2 linked regions of the Arabidopsis thaliana genome follow. The protein of the gene in region 1 interacts with the protein of each later gene in a pairwise test. Each region holds a gene or a part of one and is shown in the gene's direction. Other genes may lie near its edges.

The links.
Region 2: the proteins of AT1G75180 (region 1) and AT2G07749 interact in a protein complementation assay, tested with the Arabidopsis thaliana proteins (one large-scale study listed by BioGRID).

Annotation. Positions count from the first base shown.
Region 1 is NC_003070.9:28,204,266-28,220,797, reverse strand, and holds AT1G75180 (Erythronate-4-phosphate dehydrogenase family protein), read left to right. Parts: upstream 1-1,996; 5' UTR 1,997-2,424; intron 2,425-2,467; exon of another isoform or gene 2,468-2,651; intron 2,652-2,789; 5' UTR 2,790-2,886; coding exon 2,887-3,603; coding exon of another isoform or gene 3,604-3,699; exon of another isoform or gene 3,700-4,011; coding exon of another isoform or gene 4,012-4,026; exon of another isoform or gene 4,027-4,417; coding exon 4,418-4,648; 3' UTR 4,649-4,962; downstream 4,963-16,532. Other genes in the region: AT1G75190 (uncharacterized protein), read right to left, coding at 805-1,200; AT1G75170 (Sec14p-like phosphatidylinositol transfer family protein), read right to left, coding at 5,112-5,411, 5,540-5,785, 5,870-5,968, 6,051-6,227, 6,325-6,393; AT1G75160 (DUF620 family protein (DUF620)), read right to left, coding at 9,174-9,659, 10,119-10,475, 10,920-11,264; AT1G75150 (DNA ligase-like protein), read left to right, coding at 12,286-12,927, 13,035-13,089, 13,177-13,276, 13,366-13,573, 13,916-14,055, 14,312-14,918, 15,065-15,167, 15,269-15,321 and 3 more.
Region 2 is NC_003071.7:3,235,109-3,250,863, forward strand, and holds AT2G07749 (Mitovirus RNA-dependent RNA polymerase), read left to right. Parts: upstream 1-12,125; coding exon 12,126-12,866; 3' UTR 12,867-14,249; downstream 14,250-15,755. Other genes in the region: ABCI5 (Cytochrome C assembly protein), read right to left, coding at 4,585-5,355; AT2G07773 (cytochrome B/B6 protein), read right to left, coding at 5,730-6,551; AT2G07655 (uncharacterized protein), read left to right, coding at 10,215-10,376, 10,451-10,875, 11,005-11,095; AT2G07776 (uncharacterized protein), read right to left, coding at 10,929-11,258; AT2G07777 (ATP synthase 9 mitochondrial), read right to left, coding at 15,649-15,755.

The DNA of each region.
Region 1 (16,532 bases):
AAACCACAGGCGATTTTAGCTTAAGACAGGACCAAGCTAAAGCTATTTTGTTAGCCTTTAAAGCTTCTTCTTCTTGGTCTAAAGCTTTTTTGTTTTTTGTTGTCATCTAACAGTGTTAACTTGTGGAAAGATGTTAAAGTTTCGAAATCATATCAAAACTTTAGACAGTTTCAATCCTTTGATAGGTTTCGATGTTTTGGGAATGTTTTTGAAGATGAGTTCGCACGTGAAGGCCTTGCAGGGCCAACAATGTCTTGTATTAAAATAGTATATCAACGTGGACTCGTCGAGTCTCTTTCTCTCACTGCTCCAAGATTAATTAGTTGTACAACTTTAATCGACAATTACAGCTATTTGGTTAAAAGATTTTAATAATAGACAGGTTTCTTCTTTCACCAGCAATATCCATTAGTTTCTTAACTTATCCGTTCCACCATGTGCGATGGTACCTTTTATCATTTATCGTATAAAAATTCGAAAGGGACGTAACCATCCATCAACTACGCAACCAATAAATTAAACAACCTACTACAACTAAAACAATAACCCTAAACAGCTTTCTCATGAAACAATTCATTTAATTTAGTCTTCACCATCATATATGTTTTAAAGTTATTTTGATGCACCAAAATAACACTAAGATCAACAAGATTTGTTTCTTGTTTTGAACTAACAAATCCAAAAATCAATTGTTTTTTTTTCTTCCCATGAGAGTTTCAATTAATTTATAATCCAACAATAGTTAAATCCAAAAACACACACAAAAACAAAAACTCCATTAATTAATGATACGGTAATTAAAGTTTACCAGCTCTTCACCGGCGTGCTTTTCCTCCTCGACCGTCTAGACGACGGCGGTGGAACCACTACCTTGACCGTCATCTCCGGCTTCTCCTCCTCCTCTAACTCTTCATGTTTCATCTTTTGCTCCTTTTCCATACTACCACTACTGCTCCTAACTTTCTTCTTCAGCTTCTCTCTGTTAATAACCACCTCAGCTTCTTCGTCTTCTTCTTCTTCGTCCTCGTACTCTTCGTAATCCTCGTCTTCCTCAGATTCTTCCTTCTTGAAATCTTCTGGGTTCTCAAGATTCTTCCTTGGCCTTCCTCTTCGTCTCCTTGTAGCCTGAGACTCCGTCGGAGATGAAGCTTCTGCTACTGACGACGTTTCCTTTGCTTTCTGAAACCTTCTCTTCCCCATCAGTTTACTTTATTCAACAGAATAATATTTTTCTTGAACAGCTTGTCTGATTTTTAATATCTTCAAGAGCAATAAAATTTTCTTTTATGTTTTACAGACAGAAACAAAAACAACAGTCTTTAAAAACCAAAAGCCGCCCATTTCTTTGGTGTTTAGATAAAATATCAGAAGAAAAAGTAGATTTTATTTTTGTCCGTTGGTTATCTCTTCTCTATTATCCACCAATATAATACAAGTATGACATATATATCCTTGGAGTTAGGGTTCATATACAGTCTACGTTCTAGACATTATAGAAGAAGTATATCTTTAAATCTAGTATGCAAGACTATTGCCACCACGGCACCACCTAACCACGACCCGGTTGGTAGCTACAATCTGTGTGTGAGGTTTGAGGTCTTGACATAAACTTCATTTCACAACAAACCCATAATGATGACATTCATATAAGATGAATTTATATAATTCGATACTAATTGAAAACCGACCTATATCGATCATGTGAGGTTCGAACCGTGACATTCTCTATACTGTTGAACAATGAATAGTTGAATTTTGAATACAATGAATAAGATCACAATGTGAGAGTGAGATCAATTAACAGAAAAACGGCACGATGTTCACTAATCCTTAAGAAATGGAGTAAATTTAAAAGCCCAATAAAGGCCCAATACTTACTGTTTAGAAAAACCAACAACAAAATGAGCGTCGTTTTAGATGAACACAACCGACGCGGTGTGTCTCGTAAACAGCGAATGGTTTTGTTTTGTTGGTAAAGGGATAAGATCACGTGATCAGAAAGTCAGAAGAGCCCATCTTCTTCTTCCTCTTGGTTCTTGCCTCTCTCTTCTCGTTGGATATCATAAAAAGACAATTCTATCGAGTTCCCATCACTATTCCCGATTTCTGATTTATTTTTCCCTTTCACTGTAGATCCTTTTTTCCGACTCACACACTTTCGATATTTTCTTTTGTTTTCTTCAAAAAAGACATATTTTTTTTGCTGGGACTATCAATTGGGGTCCGTCGCCACGCCACGCGCCGAGCTCGCAATATATCGAAAGCAACGATCTAGGAAGGATCTTAAAAATCCTACTTGGCCACAAATTTTTGCTATTTTTATTATTTTCCGTGTTTAATTTCTGATTCAGACAGGAAGATTAATATTAAGCACTAGTTGTGCAAATTCACAATTTTTTTTTGTGGATGGAAACAAATTTCTGGGTGAGCTTCCCTTTCCTTTTTTTTGCTTTCTTTCTCTCCTTTCTTCTCTCCGGATTTTTCTAGGTTTTCAATTTTTGTTTTACCTTCAAAGGTTGTTCCTTTGTGATATAAAAATATAGTTTTCACCTTCTTTCAATCTCTGCGGTTTCTAAATAGAACATTGGAGAGATTTGTTTCTGCATCTGTAAATTTTGATTTCTTTGACCATCTCTCTGTTTTTGTGGCAAGTGAGTAAAGTTTCAATCTTGACCTTTCTTTCTTTCTTTCATTAGTTATGATTTTTGCTTCTTTTATTGCCTTAAATTTCCCCATTTTGGGAATGAATGTTTCTCACGTTATTCTCATTGATTCCAATTTTTCTGCAGCACACGTATTCCAATCCAAATCGACAATATACGCGTCTCTGATGGATATGTTTTGGATTCAGTGAGAAACAGAGATTGATTTTGGTTTTCTTTAATCATGGTGGAGCCTTATGAGACACGTAACAACGGTGAAGCATCCCAGATGATCAGATATCAGAGTTATAACCATCACAATTCCAGACTACCATCTTCATTATCATCGCCATTGCTTGATTTGAGAGTGTTCTATGTCAGAATCAGTAATTTCAAGGTGGATCATTCGACACCTGAGGTTCTCACCATTACTCATATTCCTTTGGATCCAGATTCACTTCTGGAGATTAATGGTGTTAGAATGAGCATGTACTCTGAAGGAGTTTCTTCTCAGCTTAGGCGTGATCGTGTTGATAAGAAATCTGAAGTTGCTACTTTTATCAGCACGGATAATATCAGGTTATCTGGTAGTGTGAAGTTTGAGGTTTATGATAAAGATGAGCTGGTTTTGTCTGGAACGCTTGAGATGTCTGGTAGTAATGGTTTCACTGGTGAATCTAAGCATAGCGTGAAGCGGTGGAACATGAATTGTGAAGCTGAGATCACTGCAGAGTCTGGTTTCTTGAAGGAGAAACATATTGGTGGTTCGGAGTTATCTTCTCCATTGCCAACTATTGAAGTCTATGTCACTGGCTGCTTTTCTGGAACTCCTATCATCCTAACGAAGACTCTACAGCTTGGTTTCAGAAAGAAGCACGGTAGAGTGACTGCATTAGATTCGATTCCCGAGTATGAAACTGATGAGCCTCATAAAGGAAACTCATCTGAGCTTGATTATCAGGTAACTTTTAATTGCTTGGTACTTCATTTTTTCAAGATTATTATAATGCTTCCGAATAGTTTTATATTGATTGAATGCTTTGAATGCTTTTCCTAAGATATGAGTCTTCATGGTCACTATTGGCTGTATGAGCATTAAGTTTTTCATGGTTTTGAGATTTCATAGTTTGAGTCTTTGAGACATGTTTCTTGGTAGTTGGTACTCTAAGGAAGATAATTCCTTTAGATATTGAAGTGGACCAACTTCGTTATAAATGATCATGTGAGGTATGGGGCCAGCCACATTTTACAAGTCAATAGATAGCTCTCGCCCTCTCTCTCTCTATCTCTCACTCACACTCTCTCTCTCCCATTTGCCTCTTGTCTTGTGATCTTAATATCTGAATTCTTATCCTTTTGCCTGCTACAGTCAGTTCTAAGGTGACTTATTGGTTGGAATATCGTGGTTTTCACATGTAATGCTACAGTATATTATCTTTAATTTATGCATAGACTGATTTGGGAAACGTTGCCCTGTTTAAGAGTCAATGTTAAGAATAGCTTATGCTTGAAGTTTTAATTGGAGGCTCTTGCAGTTGACAGTGTCAATACCTATTGGAGATAGATCTTCATACTCACCGTAGATTATTTAACTATAGTGCAATGTCTATATCTTCGACCATTAGCCTCTATTCTACATTTGAAAGAGTTTATAAGATTGGAACAAAAAGACCATTAGCGTAATTGCATGACGATTGTATTCTTTCTCTGACTATCGCTATGAATGTCTCTTAATTATTTTTCTTTGTTAAGTATGGGAGTTAATTTCTGTGCAGGTTACTGAATATGGAAGTTATAAACAAGAATATGAAGGAGAACACAGCGACATGTACTGGAATAGAGAGTACGCAGATGGTGAAGATGGTGAGATGTCGTGGTTCAACGCTGGTGTGAGGGTTGGTGTGGGAATTGGTCTTGGTGTCTGTGTAGGTCTTGGCATTGGGGTTGGCCTTCTGGTGCGTACCTATCAATCGACCACCAGAAACTTCAGAAGGAGGATTATCTAGTTTCATTCAAATTGCCTCAAGCTTCATCTACTCTCTCCCTCTAACTCCAATCCGTTGCACATCACTTTTGACTGCAGAACTCTAAGCTATATAGTCTAAGCTAATACTGCTGTGTAGTATAATTTTTGTTTTATGTACTTTTTAATCTCTTTGTGCCTTCAAATTTTGAAAGAAATCATTTTCCCTTCTTCTTGTGTTTGGTGAGATTCAGATTGAAAGAAACAAAGCTTGTTGCTGGTAATGCGAATCTTGTTTTCTGCTTCCTGTAAATAAAATGCTTATGAGTGTAAAGAGTTTTTGGATTCGCTTACAAGCCTTGCAAGAGTTACTAATACACACAAACCCTCTTTATTTTAATCAAATGCTATGTCTAAATCATACAACCTCTCTACTTAGCATCAAGAGCTAAGGTTAGTCCATTTCAAAAGGGTTGGTTTTAATAATACATTGCCTTCAGAACCAGTCAAGGGTGGTTTTGGATTGGCTCAGGGGCAATCTCAGCTCCAGAAAACCCGTTGCTCGCGTGCAGCTGGTTATTGTTACTGTGACCCAATCCCCAAAAGTTAGCAGTTTTAACATCGTCTTGGTTCATTTGCTTGGAGAACTCTTCATAGTTATACTGCAACAAAGCTTTCCCTCCAAATTCGGTTGGGAGATTTTCCTCGTCGAAAAATGTGCTCATAAGCTCCACGCTTTCCGAGTTCTTTGGGTAAACAAACTTCACCTTGACGAATGTCTTTGCATCAATGAAGTACTTCACAATCTGTGGAACAACACATAATTAAAGAAAAAATGAAAATGCCATCATGTTCCTGCACATACAGACGAACAAAACACAAACAAAGTTGTCTTGTTGTCTAACTATGAGATAGAAGTATTGTTTTGTCTAACCTTCCAGAACGCCTCAAAGAGTCTTGGAGGATTATAGAGGAAAGCTACAGCTAGTCTCTCAGGGTAGTGATTTTGCAGAATATTAATAGTTTCTCTGGCAGATTTAATAGGCACACTAGTGCTCATTGACCAACCCGTGAAGTCAATAAGCCAAGACATCTGTTCTTGATCCTCTGGCAGATTCAGAATAGCATTCTCAATGAGATACACCAGATGTTTCATCTGGTTCTCCAACGATTTTGTGTTCTACAAAAGTTGTCAATGAAAATGGAAGTTTCAGCTTGTGACCTGAAGTTAACTCATTAACTAAGAAAAATGATGAATAGAAACCTGCAAGCCGGGTCTCAGTATAAGAACCGTTCTTCCATGCCTGTCATGGAATCCAGCTTTGTAAACCTTACCAGTCTCACCTTCACCTGAAACTTCATTCTAATAGAAACCAAGAATTATAAGTTTTGGTTGGATAGGAATTCTCTAAGATTTAGTAGCATGATGCAGTTATGATACATACCCATCGGATTTCCTCGGGTTTAAAACTCGATCTCCATTTGAGCGTCTCCTCGAGCATCTTCTTGGCTTTGCCTACATTCCAATTCCTAGCTTCCAGATATCTCTTCAGACATGCATCTGAACAATACAGTGAATTCCTTCCAGAAAGCTGACCTATGAGAGTCTTAAGCTCTTTCATCTATAATCATAAAAATCAGAAGGCATTATAGCTTCTACGAATCAACTAGGTAATTAAGTGAAATGAAAATCATCAACAAGGCCTTGAAATATTTGACCTTTGCCTCTCTGAGAGCTGCCTCTTTCTGCTCTTGTTCGGTTTGAGAAGAATTCTTCCAGCGAAACATTTTTGAAAATTGCACTTTGGGTCCAATGTATCAAAATCTCTTTACTCTGTGAAAATTAACTACAATGAACAAAAGCCATGTTAATAATTAGCCTAATACTAACAACGGCCGTTAAATCCAAAGCCAAGGTTCATGTGATGCGTGTGACAGGACATCACAGACCAAACATGACTCAACCACCTACTGCTTCATTCAACTGCTTACACAAAACCTCAGAAATTCAAAATCTAGTAAATTTTCAATTCCCAAACATATCGATCAACAAGATTTGCAAAGTTGTTCAAGATCTACTCAAATTTTGGAACACTAGACAAAGGAATTTCCTATAAACTCACTACAAACCCAGAAAGATTCATAATCTACCTACTTTTCTAGTCGTCAGATGTAAAATAAAAATCAAGAGTATGAAATCAAATGAAAGACCCAAACTTTAAAAAGAAGAACGAGGGTAGTACCGAAACAGAGAACGAGGAATAAAGAGAGAACTTTGCAGTGATGAGACAAGTCGGAGAAGAGTCAGCTGAAGAAAAGTTGAAACTGATTTCATGAAAAGAGTTGCGAGAAGAAAAGTAAAGACATTCACCTAACGCTTGCAGTTCAGACAAGTGGACAACAACAGAGACAGCGATTAAAATTATATTTTAAGGTAACTGAACGGTACGGCACGCCACGTGAGATTCACGTATACTTGATTCTGCATACTCCACGTGTCAATTGCCTTAGAGGCCATAGAATTTTGAAAGCAAGGCCCAAGGAATCAAAAATACATGTTTATTTCGAAATCTATCCAAGTCCAATTCACACATAAATATTGGTATGGCCACAATTATATGATTATTTAGAGCACCACTATTGGTGTATTTAGATGTATCTTTGGCTAATATCTAAAAAATAAATTTTGAAAAATAAATCAAAACAGATTAAAAACTAAGATTTGCTTCTTAGCTAAGAAGTTTTTATGAATGAAAAAAATACTAGATTCTTAAGTAAAACTAAAATTTTGAAAAAATTTTAAAAACTAAGATTTGCTTTTTAGTTTAAGTAATTGTTAAGATACAAGATTAAGAACCAATGGATTCTTAACCTTTGGGGACGGTCTTATACACTATGAGAAATATGCGATTACAACAAATGGAAGGTACGAAAGATAAACACAACTTACAATAGAAAACTAAATTATTACATTCCAAACTATCTCTTAACATTCAACTGGAGTTTGAAGAGAAACAATCTAAAGCGACATCTAAACCATGGCCATGAAGACACGCTGTGCACAACGATGAATCGAAAGAGTCGAAAACACCTTTCCTCCAAATCTTGAGAAGTACGACCCCTTTAAAATACTACAATCTGGCAAAACTCGAATGCAACTTATTTAACGACAATAAAAGTTGGAAGGAGGTGTTGCGACTTTCTTTTGTAGTTAACACGAGGATTCCTAAAGTTCTAAGTCAACAGTTTACAATGAAACCGACATGTCCCAATTTTCAGATAATTTCAAGAATTCCGCAATCTCCATTGTGTTATAGAAATGGTTGTCAAGTAATTGGAAGGATTGGTTGAAATTTTGATTGAAAAAAAGGTGTCATTCAACATAAAATCCTACCAATACCTGCAAATATTAAACTTCCGATCTTTTGATGGTTACTAATACATGATATAAAAAAACAGGTTCTTAATATTGATAGTAAGCTCAGAAGGTTGCACAATCATTTCAAAGATTGAATAATCTCATAAGTCCAGACATATATATTAGCAACATCATCATCGCAACCAAAGAGAAAATGTAATAAGATCAAATACTCAGAGAAGCTACATAGTAGCGATGGCAGACAATCTACACGGCATCAATTCAGACCGCCCGTCTGCTAATATCTCATCATTGTTTTGATAAACAACAACAACAAAAAAAAACTAAGATTCGAATTATGGCATCAGATAATAAGCGGAGATGTTTTGTCAACACTGTTCATCAGTGGTTAAGCATAAATTAATCAATTCTTCATTTGCCAATAATCAAAAATTAAAAAACAAGAAGAAACTAAAACAATATAGGTCGATTCATTTGACGCCAAAGCTACAGAAAAAAGCAATGGGTTGGTAAGATAACCTAATTCGATATAAGCATCCGTTCTAACTCCTCTACCATACTTTGTGATTTTTACTCTACAAGTAATAGAGGAGTGGGTAAATCAAACAGATGCATCTACTAAACCCAATCAAAATCGAAATCAAAACCAAAACAGAGCATAACAAACTACAAGAGTCAATCGATATTCGAACAAATTCTAGATACCAGAGGCGATGCAAACGAAGAAGAATAACTGCGGAGGAATAGATCGGTTGTTGTTTATGAATTGAGATTTGTCAGGATTTATATAGCGGAGCATGTTTTTGTTATCTCGCAATCTAGGGTTTCCCTCTTAACGGACTTACGTCGGTATTATCTTAGTGGGCTATGTAGTGAAATGATTGGCCCATTTTCGGTTGGTCCATTGGGATTATTTTTTCAAAAAAAATTTTGAACTAATGAAACTCATAAAATCATTATGGAAATTTCCAATTGAGTCACAAAAATAAATAAAAACGAAAGTGCTAATGACAATTGAAATATATTTAAAACATTAGTTTACAGTACACCACCATCTCAAAATTACATATTTACTCCTTTTGTTACAAATCCACGGTAGGTGTGTATAAGAGACCTATTTAAACCTCAACAAAAAAAAAAAACATCTAGAAGAAAAAGATAGACTATTGTAACGATTTCTCCATCGTGCCTAATGATCATTGTTGATATCCGACGGTGGTAAAAAGCTCTCCAAACACAATCCACAAATATTGAAATCCACCTCCTCGATACGCCATTTCTCCTCTATTCTTCTCCGGTGATTAACAGCTCCACCGTAGCGGTAGAGTGTGGTCACGGTTTGACCACCATGAGCAATGTTGACTGCGTCAACGAATATGTAATCGTCGATGATGGACTCCATACTTGTCTCCCAAAAAACGCCGTCGTTTTTGCCTCTTCCGGATTTGACTCTCACGAGTTTTGTGTCACCGAACTTTACGAGAAGTCCGGTTCGTTGGCTGAAGTAACCCCATACCGTGTGGTGGATCACCTCCGTGTTTGGTGAGCATTGTGCTTTGAGAATATCTGACGGTGTTTCTACTTTTAAGACGAAACAGTCTTCACCGTTAACGGGTTGTTCACCGATGCAAACGGCGTCTAAGAACAAACTCGCTGTGCATCTCGGGTCTAGTCCCTGCCACGTCATTCAACAGATGAAAAATGTCAAAAGGTCAATCTTTAGTCATGGTAAGTTTATATTTTTTTAAGGCAAAAATTGCTAATAATATGAGATAGGATTTATTAGCAATCGAGATTTTGTAACAATGTTAATCAAAATTTGCTAATAACAATTTTGTAACAATTAAAATTTGCTAACAATCAAAATTTTGTATTTCTTGGTGTATATCATTGCTAGGATTTATTTTTTTAATGGTGTTATGAACATTTTGACTGGTTTCCTCTCTGGCTTAGTTCTAATTTACTACTAAATTAGTACTTTATAAGTTTATAACTCACAAGAGTGCTCCCATGTTTGAACATGGAATATGATAGGGCGATCAAAACCACTATACTACAAATTTTGTCATTTTTGTTAAGTTTAATCGTAAAATAGTCGATAATATGCATTGAAAGGTTAAAAATGCATGGGCACCTGAAAAAATCGGCGGAGAGGACGAGGAGGACCACGGTGGGCCTGAGAAGGTTGAGTAGAGGATTGGTTCCAAGCCACTTTGCCGTCACTACCAGCGCTAATCTTGAAACCGGAAACCACTAGCTCCAAGAACCAAAGATTTGGATTCTTTTGCCATAAAACAAAACCTCCGACCTCGAAACTGCCTTTACCAAGTCGCACCGGCGTACCCGTCCCTTCGTCCTCTCCAGCAACCATCTCGGAGCCTTGCATCCTTACTTGCCCCACCGCGTACATACTTTTCACTGCGTTCAAAGCCGTTGGACCTCCGCACGCTGCCACGTACTGTTGCACTATGTATTTAGCCGTCGACGCCTCCTTCAAATACACCATTACTATCAACATTCCACATAATAGGTTTGCTTTCTACTTAGACGAACGTAAATTGTATGATAACTTGTTTCATACGAACAAAAAAAAGAAGATAAAATGTTTATCCTATAAAACTTTTTTTATTTTTGAACTATTTGTTTTGATCAAAAAAAAAAGAACTATTTGTTATCTCATAAAGAAATTGAGGGCTAATAATCGCTACACATTCCATCTCTATACATTTTTCTCTTTTTGAAATTGGAAAATTTTAGTAGTCTTCTAATCCTCCCATGGTTTATAGAATCATTGAAAATTGTGCCATTCAAAACATTAAGAATAACGAACCAAAATTAAAACTGCAAGTGAAAGACTTGAATTCTAACCTATAACCCCACTTCATCAAAAGGTTAAACAAAAATCAATAGATTGAATTAATGATAAGATACGTACGATGGAAGTGTCGTTGATTGGTCGGGATAGACAAAACTCGAGCGGGACATGAAAAGGAATAAGAGGACTTCCTACGATTTTCAACAAGGCCACAAACTCGTTGTCTGATTTTGACTGCAAATGCATGTTGACATTACTCATCGATGACGATGACGCCGGCGTTCTTACATCAGTCGCCACCGCGGTCACAACGGCGTGTGCCTTCATGAGAGCGTGCATATTCCTCCACCGCCCTTGGGCGTTGCTTCCCATCTTTGTAAACATTTCTTCCGGCACCGGAACCTCTAACACCGTCTCTAACCCGTCTTCTCTGTCCAAATTTGGACAAAGCTTCCTCATTTTCATTTATAATTTTTTTTTTTTTCTTGTTGATGATCCGAGAGAAAGAGGGGATTAGGGTTTTCCTCTTTCTCCGAAATTTTATTACGGGAGAGAGATCGATAGATTTTAGAGAATCATGAGGATTAACTACGAAAAAAAAAAAACTATTCTTGTTTTTTTCTTCTCAATTTTCTGTTAGCCGGCTCTTATTAACTAGGGTGCTCCTTGCTCGTAGCTATCGTGAGAACACGATTTCAGGAGGATCCATCTAATCTATCTCATCTCTCTATGTGTAATTTATATAATCTTATATATACTGATGTGACATAATCATGGATTTACACTTAGAAATATCTATAAAACGTTGACAAAATATGTATATTAATTTGCATACGAATATTTGGATACGTTACATTGTGGTCGTGTACTACATATATACGTGGAACACTTATAGTAGTAGTACTCGAGGAATCATATCTAATATATACAATCGGAGTGGTTAGGTGGGAGACCAACTGTGTAACCGAGTCTCCTACGCAATTAGCTCTAGTTGTTATTGTTTTTTTGTTTATAGTCAGCAACACATATTATACAAGTTTAAATTTTTATGTGCTATAAATCAAACGATATTAGTAATATGTGCTAAATTTGTTATTATATCATCAATTATCCGTGTTCGAAATTATGATTTATTCAAAATGGCTTTAGCTTTTATATTTGAATCATAATGGTATAAATAATCATTTTACGATATTTTTACAAAATTGTAAATTAACGAAACAATTATCCCCTATCATATTGCATATATATATTTTTAATCTTAGTTTCTAATTTTTGTTTTTGACGGAATTGCATAGCGAAGAAAGCTCACCTTTTTTTTTCAACGTAAAATAGAGGCGCCAAAATTCGAATTGTTTGGCGCGTAAATCCTCAAGCAAATTATTCATTTTCACCCTTTTGGCACTGACTTGTCTTCTTCCAAACGAACAGAAACATTGGGCACCGTAAGATTCTCTCCAATTTTGTCCGGCGATTACAATCGAAGATGATGAACGATGATCAGCTTTCTCCTATTGGAGAATCGAGTGTCCCAGTTCCTAACAGGATGCTAAGACGATTGAAGAAAGCTAAATTGATCTCCGATTCATGTCCTGGATCTGAAACCTTCGATTCCGAAAACCCCGACGGCGAGGATCTGGGTAAGTCTGAATTGCAGTCTGCGAAGGGTTGCGATGGGATTGAGGAAGAAGATGGGGTTCCATCTGATCTCGACGGTTTGGGTGTAGAGGATGGAGTTACCGCGAGGAAGGTACTTGATTTTGATTATGTGCCTGAGTTTAATCAGACGATCGAAGATCTGGGCGAGAAAAGTGGAAGCGAAATCTCTGATTCGGAAACAAGAGATGAAATTAGGGTTTCTGAAACGACGGAATCTGAAAAGGAGGATCCGGATTTCGAGACGACTGTGCATGAATTTGATTCCCCAATGGAGGAATTGGGTGAGAAAGGTGAAGACGAAGAGGAAATTAGGGTTCCGGAAACGAAGGAAGCTGGAAAGAAGCGACCAATTGTGGAGACACGTGATGGAGAGGGAAAGGAGAGAAAGAGAGATAAGAAGAGGAAGAAGAAGAGTGATGACTTTGATGAGCTGCCAGTCTCTACTGCTTCCATGAACATGACTAAGAAGGTAGCTCTCTCTATTTCTTACTAGTTTCATTTTGAGTTAACATTATTCGTTTGTGTGTTTCCTTCTCCTGTGTTTAATTGGTGTTACTGTTCTTCGTTCGTCTGTAGGAAAGAAGGGAATATCTTGATCAGCTTCGTGCAGAAAACCAGAGACTCTTGCGAGGTATGATACTCTCAAAACACTCTTCAGTGCTCATTTCAACGTTTTGCAGGGAACTGAAAATTGTTTGTGTTTTTCTTTTCATGATAGAAACGAGAGATGCTGCCTTTGAAGCAGCCCCTCTTGTCCGAAAGCCGATTTCATCTGTCTTGGAGAAAATTCGCAGAAGAAAAGAAGAGATTTCAAAACAGTGAGTTTGCTATATTCCCTTACTACTTTCCCTTATAATCTCTTTTCTTAGTAACCGTGTTTGTGTGTTATCATTTGTGTTGTTGGCAGATTCCTTAGTAGGAAGAAGTCCAAATCTATTGACATATGCGACCGGGATGATTTTGAAGATGTTGTAGCTGAAGAGATGAATGAAGATATGAATTTAACAAGCAAGCAAAATTCTGCAGGACAGCATTGCTCGGAGGACTCTGCAGGTCCGTCGGAGAACTCAGACAGTCCCTCTAAAAGAGAAGCTGAAAGTAACCCTACTCATCAGGTGAGCCAACTCATGTGTTGATACTTTAGATCTTTGCACAATAGGAAGTTGTTTTCTGTTTTTGTTGATTTAGTTTTGGATTTTGAGGTCCTTAATCAAAGTTTTGTGATATTTGAATTCTTCTCGAGAGTCCAGACTTAGTATAAAGTTCAAACATTTGAAGATTAAAACCTGTAACTATATATACCTACATTTCCATTATGTTAACCCCATCTGCAGATAATTTGAATGGCTCATTTCGTTTCCACGTTACAAATGCTAAATTTATGCTGTGGTTCAAAGGCTAGTTTGTAAATTCAGGTTTCAAGCTGACTCTCTCAGTTTTTTTCCTTTTTTGGTTAGGATCCATCCGTGTGTCCACAAACGATTAACTCTGGAGATGAACTTCTTGAGAAGATGTCAAGCAGATCTTTGGAAGAAGTAATGACACCGTCGGTAGTTGCCATGAACCTCAAACTAAACCTGTCTCCTGTGCCTGACAAGTGAGTCTATCTTTAGATGTGGTTACATGCGAAAACTGAATTGACTATAACTTTGATTTGCTCGTCTATCTAATATTGGCAAGCTTCTCAAAACGCAGTCTTTACATGTTCATAAGAATATTATGGACAGATGTTACTTTCAGTATATGAATAGCTTGTGTTCTGTGATATGACCAGAAGAGCCAATTGTTTCTGTAATGTTAAGTTATACTGTGTATACTTTGCTTTCCATGCAATAACTAATCCACATCTGCAGATCTTCCGAAGAAGCAGAGTACATAAAGGGAAATTCTGATCCGGAGATCCATGATTCTCCTGGCGACCCTGTTAGAAAATTTATTGATGAGGATGCTGAAGAGGAAGATGACAGTGACAATGATTTACTCCGATTTGAGGATGAGGATGATGACGAAGATGAAGACGATGATGATCTCAGGGATATGATTGTCAGTCAATTTAAGGAAGATCCAACTGATAAAGATAGACGTAATGAACTGCATCAGAAGTGGCTCGAGCAACAAGATGCTGCAGGGACAGAGAAACTCTTACAGAAGCTTAAACGTGGTGTGCAGCATGATGAAACATTATTGTCTGAAGATGAAGATGACGATGTTGATGATGATGATGAAGAGAGGCCTGAAGGTGCTGATGGTGAAGAAGTGCAAAAACCTGAAGCCAATGAAGATGAAGATGAAGATGAAGATGAAGAAGATCCAAGTCATGCAAATTCCATGCGAATGACCATAAAGAAAATAAAGGAAATGATCCCTTTAATGTTCACAGATGAAGATGATGTTTATGTGTCATCAGACGATGAGGAAATGGAAAAGAAGCTTCTGCAACAGCGACTGTACAAGAAAATGGTAAGTGATCCCGGTTCAATAGCCCTGTCTGCTCCATATTTTATCATTTGATCCACCATACCTCTCTATATAGTAAAGATTGAAAAGCTTGTTTGATGTTTCGCTTGTGCTGCCCCATTAATATGGATCATTGTTGTTTGGAACAGGAGCTAAAGGCCAAGTCTTCATCATCCACTGCGGATGAAAACTCTGAAGAAATTCTTCGCCACATCAAGAAGCCTGAGATCAAGAAGAAAGCAAAACCTTCTTGTAAGATACCACCCAAGTTTCTCCCTGTATTTGTAATCATCAGCTGAGTTTATACACACATTGCTGATTGCTTCTAACCATTTTGTTTAAATTGTTTTCAGCTTTTAAAGAGAGGGCACTCATGGAAATAAACAAAAACCCTGCAGCATCCAAGGTATAAGCCTTCTTCAGTTACTTTCGTATACCAATAAAGTTCGTAGATACTAGATAGGTCACACTTTGAGACTTCTTAAAAATAGGACAATGAATTGCAACTTTACTAATGCCGTGAATCTTTTGCAGTCATCGTTCTTGGGTAGACTTACAAAGAGTTCCATATCAGAAGGATCTCGCAAGCGCGGTTCAAATGTTGTACGTGGCTATATATTCGAACGCGATGACAGTAACAGCAAAAGCTCAAATTCAGTGGCAGAGGAACCTTCAGTTCCAGAGACGGTAAAGCTCTTCCCTATATAAACATACACATTTCTGGTACACATATTTAAATACCTTCTTAATAACCTATGCAGATTATTCAAGAAAAAAGCCGACCAAAAAGAGCTCCAGCAAAATTCACTGCCTCACAGTCACAAGAGAGATCAACAACATTACAGGCGACGGTGGTGGAGAAGGAGACGAGCACGAGGCAACGATCAACCTTGTACGAGATTCTAAAGATGTCATCAAAGAAAACTTCCTTCAATTCACGCGAGACAATGATAAGCAGCAACCACACTGAGTCTATATTTGCTGCTTTCAAACTGGATAAGAAACCAGTTAAGACAAATCCACAAGTAAACTCCCTCTTCCTCTAATTGAATGTTATTCTTGTATAATCAGATCTCCATTTCTCCAAGTAAAATGGAATATTTAACAGGAAAAGAGATGAATTCAGAGATTTTGTCTTGCACAGTTGCAATGCAACGGCACGTGTGGTGAATGAACGTGAATCACTGGATCGTGACCCTTTTTGTTAACATGTGGCCACCAAAACGGCGTAGGACCGCGCGTTTTGGCCTTTATCTGATCAGACTCAGTCTCGATTCTCAAGTACATAGGTTGGTTGCTGTAACTACAGAGACTTTAGCGAGAGATTAGATCGTCCGTCTTAGTCATTCGAATCTTTTCTTAGAGATTGAGATCAGAATTTTCTATTCAAAGTTTTGTTTTATATATTCAATGTCTACACTATACTATTTCTTTATAATGGATAGGATTCTATTCAAGAATCATTCAACTAACATCCATTAAAGCAAACAGTTTTTATCACATGTTGTAATTTACTGAATAAATATCTTAACCTGGTGACTTTTCTTTCATCCCAAAGATTAAAATCGTAAGGATATATCTCCTTTCTTCCCCTTAAGCTTCGTTGAGACTGAAGAA
Region 2 (15,755 bases), on another chromosome or scaffold:
TTAAAAACATTTAACCATGTTTGAATACTAACCTTCGAGTTGATCAAGCATATAATTGTTGATCATACAAACGTCTTCATTGGTTGGACATAAAATCGGTCTCTCTTGAAAGAAAACCGGATCATTTTTTTCTTTCAATAACTTAGGATCTCCATAAACTTCCCTGCTTATTGCTTCAATTGGATTATCAGCGTACTTGATTAAAAACTCGTCGGGTATGTTAATCATCACTTCTCCATCATTTGGTAGTGCTATCTTACCATCACCAACAACTAAAATCCACTCTGAAAATTCCTTTAAATCCTTCGCTTCACTTGGACTCAAATCATTTGAAAACAGCCGCATATTTTTGGTCAGCTTGAGAACTTTGCAATGATTCCAAATATAAGAAGCATTAAGAGCAGCCATGCAAATCTCTGCCCTACCAGCACCAGGTATAACAGGTAGTACCTGCCTGAAATCACCACCAAAAACAACTACTTTTCCACCAAAAGGTTTTTTCCCAACACCTCCTATAATATCAGACAAACTCCTATCCAAAGATTCAAAACAATGCCTACTCATCATGGGAGCTTCATCCCAAATAATCAAAGACGCTTCTTTCAACAATTCGGCTTGATTTGAGCCACGCTCAATATTACATACAGTGAAATCGTCAGGATTAATTGGAATACCAAATCGAGAGTGCGCTGTCCTCCCACCAGCTAACAATAGAGAAGCAATCCCACTTGAAGCAACGTTAAGCACAATTGAACCTCTAGATCTTAGTGAAGCTGAAAGTGTCTTATATATAAAAGTTTTTCCAGTCCCACCAAAACCATAGACAAAGAATACACCTCCAGTGTCATTGTCAACTGCCTCAATGATCTCAGAATACACACTCTTTTGCTCATCTGTCATCTTCTGCAACGATTCTTCAAATTTATCCCTCTGTTCATTCCGATTATAGTTTCTTTCGTCAAGTATCAAAAGATTACTATCATCATCATCTTCTTCTGGTAATTGTGGCATTGTCTTGAAAGCTGTTAGAGATGTTCCATTGCTTCGTAAGATACTGTTGATTTCCTTTAAAGCAAACATCTGTTTTTGCTCATCAAACAATATTAGTTCTGCAGACGAATATAACATGACATGGCAACAATCAATAATCAAACCAATAAAATGTAAAGATCTATATAGAACATATATCTGTAAAATACAAAATTATGGTACCTGGTCAGTCAAAGTACTCTCTCCTTTTTCTTTCTATATCTTCTGATAGGTGTTCCCAAGTTTTTTCCCAAACAACTTCTGGTTGAGAAAAGCTTGTAGACTGGAGCATTACAACAAACAACAACGCAAATAGTTTCCAGTTGCCTAGAAACTGGTTCTTATTATGTCATCAATATACTCCTGGTCATCATCTAGAAAACCCAAAGCAAAACATGTCTGCTTGAAGGATTTATAAACCACACCATTAACTGTTTTTAGATCATCAAAACTCTCAGGTCCAGTTTGTGTGTTGAGAAACACTCTTAAATAATAACCTTCTTCATAAAAAGGTGGAACATAATTTATCCTTCCAATCGTATTCCCTGGTCGCTTTCTTTGATTGAAAGTTTTTGCTGTACCATCCCAGGTAAAATACTCTGGAATCTGAGTATATGTGAGATCTTTGGCTGTAGGACACCGTTTATTCAATTCAAACCAAGCCAGAAACATTGAATTTTGTAGTTCTGAACGCTTCAAAACGTGTTGTACCTCATCATCACCTTTAAAAAACAGAAGTTGTTTCCCTGGTAGGTGAAAGGATAACCTCTGAACGGATGTTGACCGGTAATGTATAGGATTTTTCAGAATTCTCCAACCAGCTTCACATGCTGATACATATCTGGTTAAAAAAACACAAAACATGTTAGAAAAATATGTCTAATCTAGATATAGCTACTAAGTAAAAGATATGTTTAATACCTGCAATCAAAGAAATCTTGAATTTCATCCTGAATTGTTTTTCCACTACTTGAGCTTGTAGACTTCTCTTTAGAATTTGTAATCTTCGTAGGCTCATCATGAGGCTGAACAACAACTGCTACACGATCCATCCCTTTAGTGATATACTTGAATAAGTACTTGATGGATCCTGTTTAGTTACACCACTCAACATTAATATGAGCCCTGTATCGAAGCGACAACTTTTTGTTATAAGGAATGACATATCCGTTATCAAACTTAAAACCACACTTCTCCACAAAGTGTTTTGTCTTTCGTCTTCTAAGGCGATATCACCTCATTCGTGAGATTATTGGTAGAGGTGATGTGAAGATTAGCAGAGTTTCAACGGATGCAAATGTTGCTGGTCCTATTACCAAACCTCTTCCGCAGCCGAAGCATGAGAGTCATACTGCTTCGATTGGCATTAGATCTATAAAGATGTGATATTATTTCTAGTGGGAGATTTTTTCTTTTATGATATGATGTTCATATTAAAATACATTTGGATTTAATTTCAAATTAATGAAATTCGTTTCAGTATTATTTATTTATTTGATAATTAAATAACAGTCCCAAAAAATTGATATCATTCTTATAGGTCATCAAGTACGTGACTTGATCATGAAACCCTGTAAGTGGAAAATGACATATATTATTGAAGTCCCTAGTCAAGGTTATGAAAATGGGACATTAATAACTGGGAATGACTAGTATGTGAGGTGACTGATGACTAAGTTTCATGGAGTCATTAATATGTGGTATTAAAGTCAATCACATATATATGTGTTAGAGAACACAATATTGGATTGACCCGTTATGAGGACTCTACAAGATTGTTATATGAGTGTCATAAGAGTTTCTCATCACAACTATAGAGTATAGTCCTTTGACCTGAGTTCGTCATGATTTCTTACTCATGGATTAGTTCGCTTTGACTCTTTCAAACGTCAGCCATAAAAGGTGATTATATAGACAGTGATTGGGCGCGTTATGAATTGTTTAAGGAACAGGGATGGAACAAGATGGAATTTGTCCCTCCCATATAACGGGAGATAAATATCTTTGGGCCTATCGAAGATTTGATACTGAAAAATGCGTGGCCGCGCTCAAACAAGGTGAATGTCAGTCGTTTGTTTTATCAGTATAAATTGGAGTTCGATAAACATGGTCTAGCTGAATAAGGATGACAATTTCTTGCCTTATGCTGAGATCGAGATATAGAGACAAAGGGATTATGGGAATAGATGATTCCAGTACAAGTGGGAGATTGTTGGGAATGTCCTGAAATCAGTTGTACTTTATTCTAGTTAAAGTTGTAATGTCGAGGTTTGACATTTGTATAATATTACGTGGTTATAATATTTTGCAAGAGACCGCTTATAATCTATGAGTCAGAACTCATTGCTAATATTATACAAACCTACAGGGTCATACACTTAAGCAAATTGGATCAATTAAAAGAGTTATTGGGCTTTTGCCCATTATTAACCCTAATTGGTTAGGGTTAAACGTTTGGCTGTATATATGATATATTAGCAACTTTTGTGAGATACACTTTTGATCACAAGAACCCTAAAATAAAGAGACAAAGAGTTGTCTAAAGTTTTGAGTTTAGATCTCAAAGGAACTAGCATTCCAGATCTGATCTAGTTTGTGTGCGTGTGGATACCGGTAGAGGCACAACACTTGGGGTGCTAAAATAATCTCGAGATAATATGATTCACCTTTCCCCTTCAGAATATCCAGGTATATTCAAACGCCAAGATCTAGATTTGATTATTTATTTACACAGTTTCTGGCAATTGAATTCGTTGTTACTTGTTAGTATTTATAAATTGTTATAAATCGGTACGAATTCCTTCAGATGATGCTTTAGAGAAAGAGGATAAACTTCGGTCCGCTTTTAACCAGGTTCAAGTGCTTGAGCATGAGTTAATTATATGAGACCAAAAAGGTAATCCTCCCTTCCCTTTACCTTTAAATGAAAGCTTTCACCCTCTCCCTCATCTGCATCCAAACCGGAGCGACTTTGTTCAATCGCTTTTGCACTTTTTTCTCTGCCTGGCAGGCTTTTCATAGTTCACGACCCCTGTTGAGTAGGGTCGGTATAGGTAAGGCAATCGATTCAAAAGTAGACTGAGAGTGGAGGTTTAGAATAACCTAAGGCGTACTGTAGAAGGAAAGAAAGGTAAGCAATCCCAGACCCAATAGGGCTACCTTTCTTCGACTGAGACCTATCTGCTTCATTCCCGAGTTTCACTTCACTTGGACACAGCCAAAGAAAAAGGGGGGCTTGATCCACCGCTTTCAAGTCCAGTTAAATTAGAGAACTCCTTTTTAGAAGAATAGGATAGAATCTTCCGAATCAGTCCTACTATGGTTGGACCAAGGTCATTTCGACTCTCTAGACTTTCTTGCTTCTTTCCATCCTGAGAAGTAGATCCTTTGGACCTTTTCTTTCCTGTTGAACGAGTGGATGTTTTGAACGAGTGTTGAGCGAGTGAAATGCCCCATAAGCTATAAGGGCGAGCTATCTCTTTAGATTCTGTGAGCTGCGATTGAACTGAACGTTCCAAGTGCATCCAGCAGGAATCGAACCTACTTGCCTCTTTATTAGGTTGGGCGCTTTAACCATTCAGCCATGGATGCAAAGAGAGCGAGTGAACTAGGTTTTGGTATTCCTTCTCGAGCTTCAATTTCTTCCGTTATAGGAGATTCGAGAAAAGATGGAATAGGAAGACGTGTTTCCAGAACAAACAAGATACGGGTTGAGAAGGGGAAGTTAGCAAAGTTAGACAAGATTGGAATGGGCATAGGAACATGTATTGATGTACCAGATCGGCTAATGCTCCCAGGTTGATGCGATGTATTCCACCAGTTGACTGAAGACTTTATTATTGGTATATCGATCGGTCCAGCACGAATTGAAATAGAAGCCGGTTCGACAGGAAGCTTTTGAAAACGCAGTGCACCCAGGTAAATAAGAAACGAGATGAATACAGAGGTCAAACGAGCATCCCACACCCAAAAGGTCCCCCACATTGGTCTTCCCCGAAACCCCCCAGTAACTAAGGTAAACAACGTAAAAAAAGCACCCATTTCTATACCGGTTCCGGAAGAGCGAAGATAAAGGGGATGTTTTGTTAATAGGAACAAGAAAGTGTTTATAGCCGTGGCGATATAAACAATAATACTCATCCGAGCCGCAGGAACATGTACATAGAGAATACGAGAATTTCCACCTTGTTGAAGATCTAGTGGTGCTACCCCAAGACTTAAATGAATAGCCATCGCTGTTAAGAACAACCAAGACCCAATGAGAATTTGCGCGTAGCTTCTGGTCTTTGACATCAAAAAAGAAGGTTGTAATAACGAAACGGACATGTGCAAATTTTGTCCTAGCTAGTGGAACAAGAAAGACATGGATCTATAATACGCAATCAAAGGATTTCCCCCAACGAATAATTCCCCCTCCCCTGCTTTGTTTGTTTTCGCTCTGCTTGTGCGTGGCACTCCTTGCTGGCGGAGCGGCGCATAGCGAAAAAAAGAAAAAAGGAAACTCACCACCAAAAGATCAGTCCAATAATCCCACTCACTGGTAAATAGCGCAATACTTCTTCGTGAATCTCCGCTATTTGAATATGGAACATCATAACAACGAAAAGGAATGAAACGGCTATAGCTCCTATATGAACTACCGGGAAGATCATAGCGAAGAAGTCGAGACCTAACAAAAGACGTAAACCTGAAATGGCGGTTTAGTCGTCGGAATCGCTTTTATTTATGTCGTAGTCAGACAGCAATTCCAGTAGCTCCACCCAAAACTTGTCTCCGTTTTTTCCTAACCGGGAATAAAGATAGTAGAATCTTTTCTTACGCCGATCGATATCGATCATTTCATGTTCAGTCATCACAACATTTATTGCTCGTTCTATATCCCGTTCATCCGGAATATGGTAACCTTCGGATACTAAGAGTTCATGTGTTTTTGCTATTATTTTTGCCTTGATTTTTTCGCATTTATCACTCTCTGCTTTTACTTGCTCCCCGATGGTATCTGTGTTTTGATCCTCTACCTCGAGGTTCAAGAAAAGGCGTTTTGAGCCACTTTCCTTGTACTCTTTCGACCAGAAAGGTGAACCCCTCTGCTGATCGTGAGAGTGCTCATTCTCATGAGCATAATATCCTTCTAAAAGACCACCCTCAGATGGATTTGTCGGGGGCATTGGCGTATTTCCTCCTCCTAGTCCTCCGGATACCACCGGGTAGAACTGAGAAATGGCACGACTTAAGTCGTCCATCCACAAGTATCCTACAGCAAATAAAGATTTACAGAGAATAACTGAAATAACATAAAACCAAATCAGTTGCCATTTTTTGGAAAGTTTGTTTATAATAGGAAGCGAACAAAAGGAATCTAAAAGGACTTTTATGCTGCAAAAGACTGGGATGGGAAACAAAACAGAATGTACAAAACGGATAATACGTGTAACCAGCAAACCAAAGACCAAAACTTCAGTACGGTCCGTGCGCCGTTTTTCTTCTCTACCATGACGAATCAATTGATTAAACGTGGGCATTATTCTCTTTCCTTTCTTTTTCCCCCCATTTTGTGCCCTATCACTTTACTCCCGATCCGAAGCACCCCTTTTCCATTCATATAGAAATCCAATCGTCAAAATAAATAAAAAGAGTCCATCATGGACCAAAATCTGCCCGAGACAAAGCTGAGCTGTCAAATAAGACCAACAAGGGATAAGATAGGGAGGCTCCTCTAAAGCTGGAACCTCTTCCAACCCCAGCACGGCTCTTCCCCGTCGACTCCTCGTACGCGTATCACAGGGGCAAACACGCCTTCAAAACATCTGGATCATACAAACTTCTCATTCAGTGGAAAAAACCTTACCAAGACTAGTTGCCTCAACGAATTGATATGCTTTTGCTTTTTGTGACACCGGCGCGAATGCTGAATACGGAGGAATACAATGAAATCAGAACAAAGCAGGTAGACCAAGCTAGCTTACAGAATTCGAGGAATTCAAACTCAGAATAAGCTCTTTTATTAGCACGTTTGGTAGCCAGAAAGGAAAGAGGTTCTCATTCACAGTGCCTTCTCCTTCTGTGATCACTGATCAAAAGGACATTCATTCAGTAAGGGATTGATCCTCAAAGTGGTTCTTTTAGCACAATGAATTACTTATCTTATAATGAATTACTTATCTTATATAGTAGTGTAACCTTCTCTTCGTACAAAAAAGCCTATTCTGAAAGCCGTCTTTCAATGCCTGTACCCTAGGGCGAGCTAGGTTCAAGGGTACGCACCTAGTAGCTGCGAGCCTAAGATTAAAGGCAAGTTCCCTTGGTTCGGCACGCTTTCACTCAGTATGATAGGCTACGGTCAGATTCGCTCGGTCTAGGTATCACCTTGATGCGCGTAGTTATTGCCTTGATCCCTTTCCTTTGCTCGGGTCATTCCATTGCCTAAAAAAGTGAGCCTGGATCTTCGGAGAAAGGATTTTAGAGCTCTGTGGAGAAAGTCTTGAAATATTGGATGCTTTCTTTCGTGGTTAGGCGGGCATGGCATCAACTCTGTATAGGTGGGTTGGCCCGGCCGGCCAAAGCTAGATATAGATCGGTTGGCACTGGATCTGCTGGATAGAGGTAGCGGCACAGACAGCTACGGATGGATAGAATTACGTCAGCTTGTCGGGTCAGTAGATATGCCCAGGATCCATTTTGACTAGAAATGAAATGGTACAGAGAAGCGCAGTGAGCGGTAGCAACCATTGACTACTCGGGCCGGGCCTTGCAGCCAGAAAATGGGACTCGATCAGCTCAGCCCATTGACTCTTTTATGGGGAACTATTAGAGACCTAGGAAAGTCAAGATGCCACCGGGGCGTAGAAAGAAAAAGGCTTCTTCGGCATGATAGCTCTGCTCTGTCGGATAATATGAGCCCCTTATGGAACAGCTCACTCCGGGGTGATTCTGGTTTAGTCATAGAATACAGTAAATCCATGCGTTTGTCTTCGCCTTTTCGGAAGACCAAGACAGCTAGACGATAGATTAACCAAAGCCATAAAGAGAAGATCGATATCGCACAGAAATCCTGGATCTATCAAAAAAGCCCGCCAAAGGTGTCCTCACATGAAATCATGAAAAGGATCCGAGCCCATCAAAGACTCTACTACATGAAAGGATCTGAATCTATCCAAATAGCTGTGGCCCATGATCCAAGGGACCCGCAACCAGTCAATCATGCTATCCTTACCTTCCAACCAATCGGAAAAAATTACGTTCAATTCAGGATCGAATACATCTTTGGCTTATGAGTTATGCGTTTTCTCTTCTTGGCACTTTATGTCTGCTAGTGCATAATCATGCTTATGGAAATAGTGGAGGTTGAGCAGTTTCCCTGATGAAGAGAACTCTCCTTCTCTAAACAAGCTTGCCTGTGGGCGTCGAGTAAGAGCATCTGGGAATTGATCTTTTACGAGACAGCCCGGAGTTGGTCTCGTGGCTAGGTCTTTAACCGAACCGGTTCGGAATAGAAAGTCTCGGTCAATGAAGTGGAGTGGGCTGAAACAGAAAGTTGGGTATTGTATTTTTATGCTCGCTTGGCCGGAATCCCCTATAGTGCTTTTCGGGCGAAGTGACGGATTACTTTTTGAGTGACTACCCTCAGTCTTTCAGAGCCTCGGGATAAGCTGTTCTTGTTTCATAAGCAAATGTGGCAACCTGGTGGTATAGTGAGCTCTCTCTCTGGATTAAGCTTCGGTCATTGATAGAGAGGAATCACCTAGCCTAGCATTAGACTCGACTAGCTAGCCTTCCTTGGGCGGATTGCTTTGAATAGCGTAGTTTTCTTAGCTCCGGGGACTGCCTTATCTACACTATGAGAAATGTTAGATGCAACCATTATAGTATAGATATATTCTTAGATGATTACTATATGTGATTTCTTTCATACAGTCTTAACAAATATAGAGATCTTCACCATAGGAGACTAGCTTGAACTAAATCCTCCAACCTTAAAGCAGTATGAGAGAGGACGGATACCAGAAAGAATCACCTCGGAGCCGCTATGCCACTATGAGAAACGTTATACTATAGATAGACATGAGATGATATTCTATAAGGAATACAATGTTTGAAAAGCAAGAATAGATAGAGTTGAAAGAAAGGCGCTCGTATAGAGCCCTCGACTATGTATCGGACATATGGCAGGTTGGGAAAGCGCGCTTGGAAAAGAAAGACTATCCTCGAGGTAAATGTAAATCAATCTATCTCGCATTGCCCAATCTGAATGCTAAAGGCTCGTAACCCCCTAAAAGGAAACTCACCACCAAAAGAAAAAGGTAGGTTAACTAACGAAACTCAAAACTACATTTTAATTCTTGCTCACCGATAATCCTTTATAAAAAATATTATACAGCTGTATACAGGATTATTGGTATAGCTGTCCACTAGCCGAAAATCGGACACCAAATTATTGTAGACTGACGACCTGTCCTTAATAGAACCGATCTGACTCTCTGAACAATCGGAATTTCGTACTTCTGTCGGATCCTCCCTATCTCCTGATCGAGCTTGTGTAGGTAGATGTTGCCTGGTAGGGCCGATAGTAGTACACTGTGTGGGACGGAGTAAGGGCCCCTCTCAACTCCTACGAGTCGTCCGGCGGAAAAGACTTTCTGAATGGAGTAAAAGAACTTGGGATCGTCGATCTCTTCCTTCAAAATTTGGATGAGTCGATGTCGGTCGATGGTGTGAAAACACTTCCTGATGTCGAATTCTAAAAACCAGCGAGAGATTCCCCACTCTTCTTTGATCCGTCTTAGGACCGAGTGGCAGCCTTGACCCGAGCGGAAATGCGATGTGTCTGGAAACTCGGGATCGTAAATGGATTCGAGTACCATTCTGATCGCCTCTTTCATGATCTTTTCTATAGGTAGAACTACTGTGAGCGGTCTAAACTTCAACCCTTCTTTCTTTCTTCATATTGTAAAGGGGGGAAAAGCTCGTTTTTTGCTCCCCTTTTTTATAATCAAAGGCCCCCTCCTGCCGTCGTTTCAGTGACTCATAGGGCTTCCCTCAGTTCAGTCTTTTTGGTTCTTGAAAATGGTCGCCACCTCTCCTCTTCTTTCAGTCGATGGGGTTCCTCTCCTTTTAGTCGAGTAATCAATACCTCTCCCAGGACCGGAATGATTATCCCTGCCCGATGGGTCTACATCCATCCCTGAATGTCGTCGGGTACTGTTCACTTCCCCGCCATTCTTGTAACCGTCACCTGTAATCCGCGCGGGTGTGTCCGCACCCCCCTGAGTGGACGAGAAAGAAAGGATTTCTCGGAGCAACCCCCCAGGTTCCAGACCCAGGAGTCAACTTTCCCGTATGAGCATTCGGTACATGTATCAGTCCGTGGGAAGAGGTGAAAGGGTCACCACTACTGAGGATCTCCCCCCCCCCCTAATCTTAGATAGGTCGTCTGAGGGTTCGCCGCGGTTCATTGCTGTGCTTACACACAAGGCTACCCTTCTCCGAAAGCTACGCGGGACCACCTACCACTAGTCTTCGGCCGGAGGGGTTTATTGCACAAAAACGGCCGGGACGCAGGCTCCCGAAGAGGGAAGCCCAACGAATGTCAGATGCAAAGTTCCGCACCTCATTAAGATCATATTGGCATACTCTCCCAAAAAAAAAAGAGCAGACCCCATTGAAGACGAGAGTAAGGTACAACAAGGCCATTTCTGTCCACCGCCCTTCTCACGGAACCGTACGTGGACGTTACCGCTCATACAGCTCCCAGCCAGCAAGCACAGTTAGCCTTCCTCTACAAGAAATGGAAATGTGGATGAATCGAATGAAATCGAGGAATTCGGTTTTTCTTTTCAGACATGATAAGTAAGAGCATCCCTTTCACAAAAACCTACGGATCCCCCTCCTATCCTGCCACTTCAGCACCTTGTGATCTTTGAGAAGATCATTACGAGCCCTTTCCTAGAATGTTTTTGTAGATTCCGAAAATTCCAGAGTGGATCAGGACGAGAATGAATCCGGGAATCCAGGGCATACTCATCCTGGAGCTTCCGCTCTCCTCTGGGAAGGGCTTTTTTATGGATAGAGAGATGAGTCGAGGGATTGATTACTCGACTAAAAGGAGAGGGTAGCCTCCCGTTTGACCGATTTCTCGGAGTCGGAAGAAGATCTCTCATCTGATGACCCTGAACAAGAAGGAGCTGCTCTCGATGTGAGATCAGCAGCAAAAGAAAGAAGAAAAGGGCCATGATGATGATCCTATGTTCGTTTTCGCCCTGCCCCTATGATGCGCTCCTAGCTCGCAGAGCATAAGTCAGCGCAAAGGAGAGATACATCCTTTAAGACTGTGAAGAGAATCCTTGGTTTGACCTACGGACTACGTGGGAAATACGAGATCTAGGCAAGCCGCTACATGTTCTCCCCCTTGCCCTTGAACGATAGAAGAACTACTTATCTTCTCTTAGATAGCAGTCGATCGGTTCTATGATCTATGGTCAATCAATAGGCCCACGGATCTATTCTTCTATACGATAAATTGCCATCTCGTAGCACCACAGCCTGGGGGTAAGACTAGAAGAGGAGATTTGCTTGGTCTTCTGTGCGGAATCTGCTTCCTAATCAGTGTAGCTCTTGGGTCAGCTCACAGCTAGGACGTCATCAGTTCTAAAGGATTCCTCACTAGGGAGACTCTCTCCTTATGGGCAAGGGAGGCAGATTTTGATGGGGAGAAGGATTCGGAATATAGTTACATAAGTCCCCTTCCCTCTCCTCAATATAGTTTCACTCGAGTCACGTCAGTACCTCTCCTTTTAGTCGCTCGTCGAGACCTCATCAACTAGTTAATACCTCCGGACCTCTCCTTTATCAGTCGAGTTTGTGTTCACAACCTCTCGAGAAACAAGTTCGAGAGTTACGTACTTTCAATGCTCTCTCTATTCCTTGCTAATCAAGGCCTGCAAGGGAACTGGCTACGACTATAGGCGGGACGACATGCTTTTAGCTTCCCTGAAATAGGCGACTTGCTCGCTTTGGCAGGAAGTATTTTTTTTGAAGAATTGAACAAAAAAAACTGAAATTTCTGTAAATCATTAAAACGGGACTTTCTTTAAAGAAAAATGGTCTCTCAAGACGGTACCTTCCATCAAGAAGGTCCTATCCATCGTCTGGCAAAGAGACGCCCAAGATTTATAGCAAGTTTTGACTTGAGCGCTGCCACCGATCGGTGGCCCGTTCCAGTCATATATGAGCTTATGGCGTGCCTTTTCGGTCAAACGATGGCATCGTGCATTGTCAATGGTGCCTTAGCACTCAACTCATGCTCTTTGAAGTCCGTTACTGGACGGCATGACGAAGTTGTGTTTGTTGCAGGTCAACCTTTGGGTTATTACGGCTCCTGGGCTCTATTCGCGTTGTCCCACCATGCTATTGTGTGGTTGGCAGCATTACGAGCATATCCTCATCAGACGAGACCATTTCTCGACTACGCTTTGTTAGGTGATGACATCGTCATTGCCGATCGTAGTGTGGCTAAGGAGTACCGTTCTCTACTTGATGCTTTGCAAGTAGATATATCTGATGCCAAGTCTATTGTATCTGAGACGGGTTGTCTTGAGTTCGCCAAGCGGTTCTGGGTTAAGATAATGTCGAAGGACTTATCCCCAGTATCTGCGAAAGCTGTGCTTGAGAGCTACTTCCTCGTTGGTACTCAGCAGTTGGCCTATAAGTACAAGTTAAGTCCTAAGACTTGTTTAAGGTTAAATAAAGCTGGATACCGCGTGCTAGGACAAATGGACACTACACTAAGGCCCTATCCCGGCGTTTTAGTCGGATTCAGGCGTTATCTAGTAAGCTTTTAGTCGGTCCTGATCGGTTACCACTCGAGTGGTGGATTGGAAGAGGATTACCTCTCAGTCCCTATCTTCGTGGTGTGTTAATTGCAAGGATTCGGGATGGGATGAAGCTTAAGCAGCTCACGCCCCCTCCCTTGGAGATGTTCCTTTGTGGAGAGCCAGAAGCACATATCGCAGAAAACACCGCTTATAGACATTGTATGAACAATGGTGTGAGTACGTGGTATGGTTTGACTTCGTTCCTCGTCGTGCCCCTTCCCACCTAGGAAGAGATACTAACCCGCAGCTGCACTTGGTGCAATCACAGCAGAAAACCCTTCTCCTAGACATTCCTCGGGGGCAGACCACACCACCTCGGAAACAAACAAACAGCACATGCAGCAACAGAGACAGGCGTTCATCGCTCACTTACCTGCATACATCATGACAACTTGTTCCCATCTCACCATGCAGAGGCGCGTAGCGAGTAACAATCCGGTCCATGTGCTGGCTTGGCATGGAAGGCAACCCTTTCTTTTTCGCAGCGCTACGCGCCTCCACATTCAGTGAAGAGATCCCGGACAGGGAAGTCAGAAGGGCAGTTACTCTTCGGACCTAGCGGCCCTGCTTTAGCTGCACTTGGTGGTTCCCCGCTCGGGATTTTATACTGGATTTTTCTTTTAGGGTTAGTGCAAGGTTGGCTTGTGCGAAGTCGACAGGGGTGGTTGAGAAACACGTTTTATTGGGATGGGGCAGCAGGCAATGGATACCGTTCCCCCACCAGAGCCTGCAGTTGGTAGGCCAAATCCCTCTGTCCAAGTGATTGAGTTGAAGCTTTTCAGAGAAAGGGTAATTTCTGAGTGAATCAAGAGAAGATGCTCTAAATGACCAGAATTAGGCGCCCTATCGCTACTTTGTTATCTAAGGTCCCACATCGATCACAAGGTTTTTTTTTCAACGTCTTTGATTATTTACTTTCACTTGCACTACTATGCTATGCTACCACGGGGAAGTTCTAAATGGCGAAAGAGAATCCTTTCAGTCCAGGCACTCAGTGCAGTCCAGACGCTCAGGAGAAGACGGAGGTTAGGAATGCTGATTGGAACCAATACGATTGCCCAGAGGAGCTTTATAGGTATCCAGAGTCCCGCACAAGGAGCAGTTGAGACAGATGCGGAAGAAGGTGCGGCCGAGACGGTTGATAGAGATGATCCGGCAGGCGGAGAGTTTGATTGCGACAGTCCAGCCTTTCATACGAGAAATGGCGGTGACCGTTTGCCCTAAACAAATATCTCAAGATGTAACACATATGCCTTCTCGTAGAGCACTCCCAGAAGCTACCCTGAAGCCTGATCGTGCTTGGAAAAGGCATTTCATTGACCGAACCCGACCCATCCCACCGAGAGTGCGAACTGCTCTTTATTCGCTTCATAGCTGGGCTTTGCATTGGAACCTCTGATTGAGCCCGCGGAGTCGCCTTACTGCTTGAGTGAGTAAGCCATTCAAGATTGTTGAGCTTGGCTCACTTCAGCTTCAGAGCTCTGGCTATTGCTTGCTTAGAGGAGGAAGCAGGCGTGTGGTGCTTCCCGCAATGAAGTGTCTTCCCTTAGATTCCTCTTTATACTCAAGAAGATTAGAAAAACACTCTGTGGAACTGCAAGTGGCGTATTGGAGACTGCACAGCAAGTGGCGTAGTGGAGTGAGCGAGCATCTTATTTGCCCGGATGGAATAGAGGTTTATCCTATTCTCTGTAAACAGAAAAGGAAGTTGTGCTCAATGACTGGAATAAGCTAGTACCATAGATTATTAGCTATGGACTACTCCTTAAGCTAGAGGAGACTTGTTTGTCTGGGATAAATTGTCATTCTAGACCCGATTGGAAAGATTGAATTGAAAGCAAGAACATAGACCTGACGAGAAAGACCCACATTTTGAATATTAACTTATGATAATCAAAGGGAGTCGTGGTTACGGGTAAGGTTAGGAAGGGCGGGAAGGACTTCCTTACTAGAAGAGGATGGTAAGCCATATGTGAAGCTGAGGCAAAGACATTTTATCTTGAAGATTTAGCGGAAATCAAAGTCTAAAGTGCCTTACTGTGCGAAAACGCATATTTTACTCTCTGGCCAAGTCTGGAGATAGACCAGGAAAGACATCTTCAAACCTGCCCGCTGACACTAGTACTGAAGACTTACTTGAAAGTGGTACTGGCTAGTGGACTGATGGAGCTGGAGAACGGAATAGACATCCATTAGTTCCCGAAGAAGGCAGGTTTGAGCAAGGAGGCTCAAGAGTAGCTTTTCCTCTTCCTCCCTTTCATAACACTCCTTCCCCGTCTTACTAGGCGTTAGGTCCTCCATTGCATTCTATTCTCCGGAGCCTACCAACTTGCCCACCTCTTAATCTCCGCCCGTTAACATATAAAAAATCAGACTCTTGTAGATTCGCCTCTTTCTTTCCGACTCGCTTCACGACTCTTTTAGTCTCGTTACGCTTAATAATCAAAATAAGCGGAAGCCAACTCTTGAAAATCTCAGGTTTACACTGCTAGATCAAATTCATACTGAAATGCATTACCCTACCTATCTAAAAAAAAGAGGGCCCTGGGGAGCATGCCACCCTCAACCCACAAACTCCCATTCTCCTCAGTCTCCCAGTATTGGAGACCTACTTACTACATCTCGACCGGGGGCCTCTCCAGTCTTTGCTTAACAACTTTTCTATAGAAGGATTCAATCCAGCCGCAGGTTCCCCTACGGCTACCTTGTTACGACTTCACCCCAGTCGAAGATCCCAGCACGGTATGCCTCAGTCGACGTAATGCCGGGCATTCACCTGATGGTTCCCCAAGCCCCTGAGCTCATCAATGAACGGATTCCACCTTTCACAGCGAGCTGTTCCGAAGTTGCGCCTGA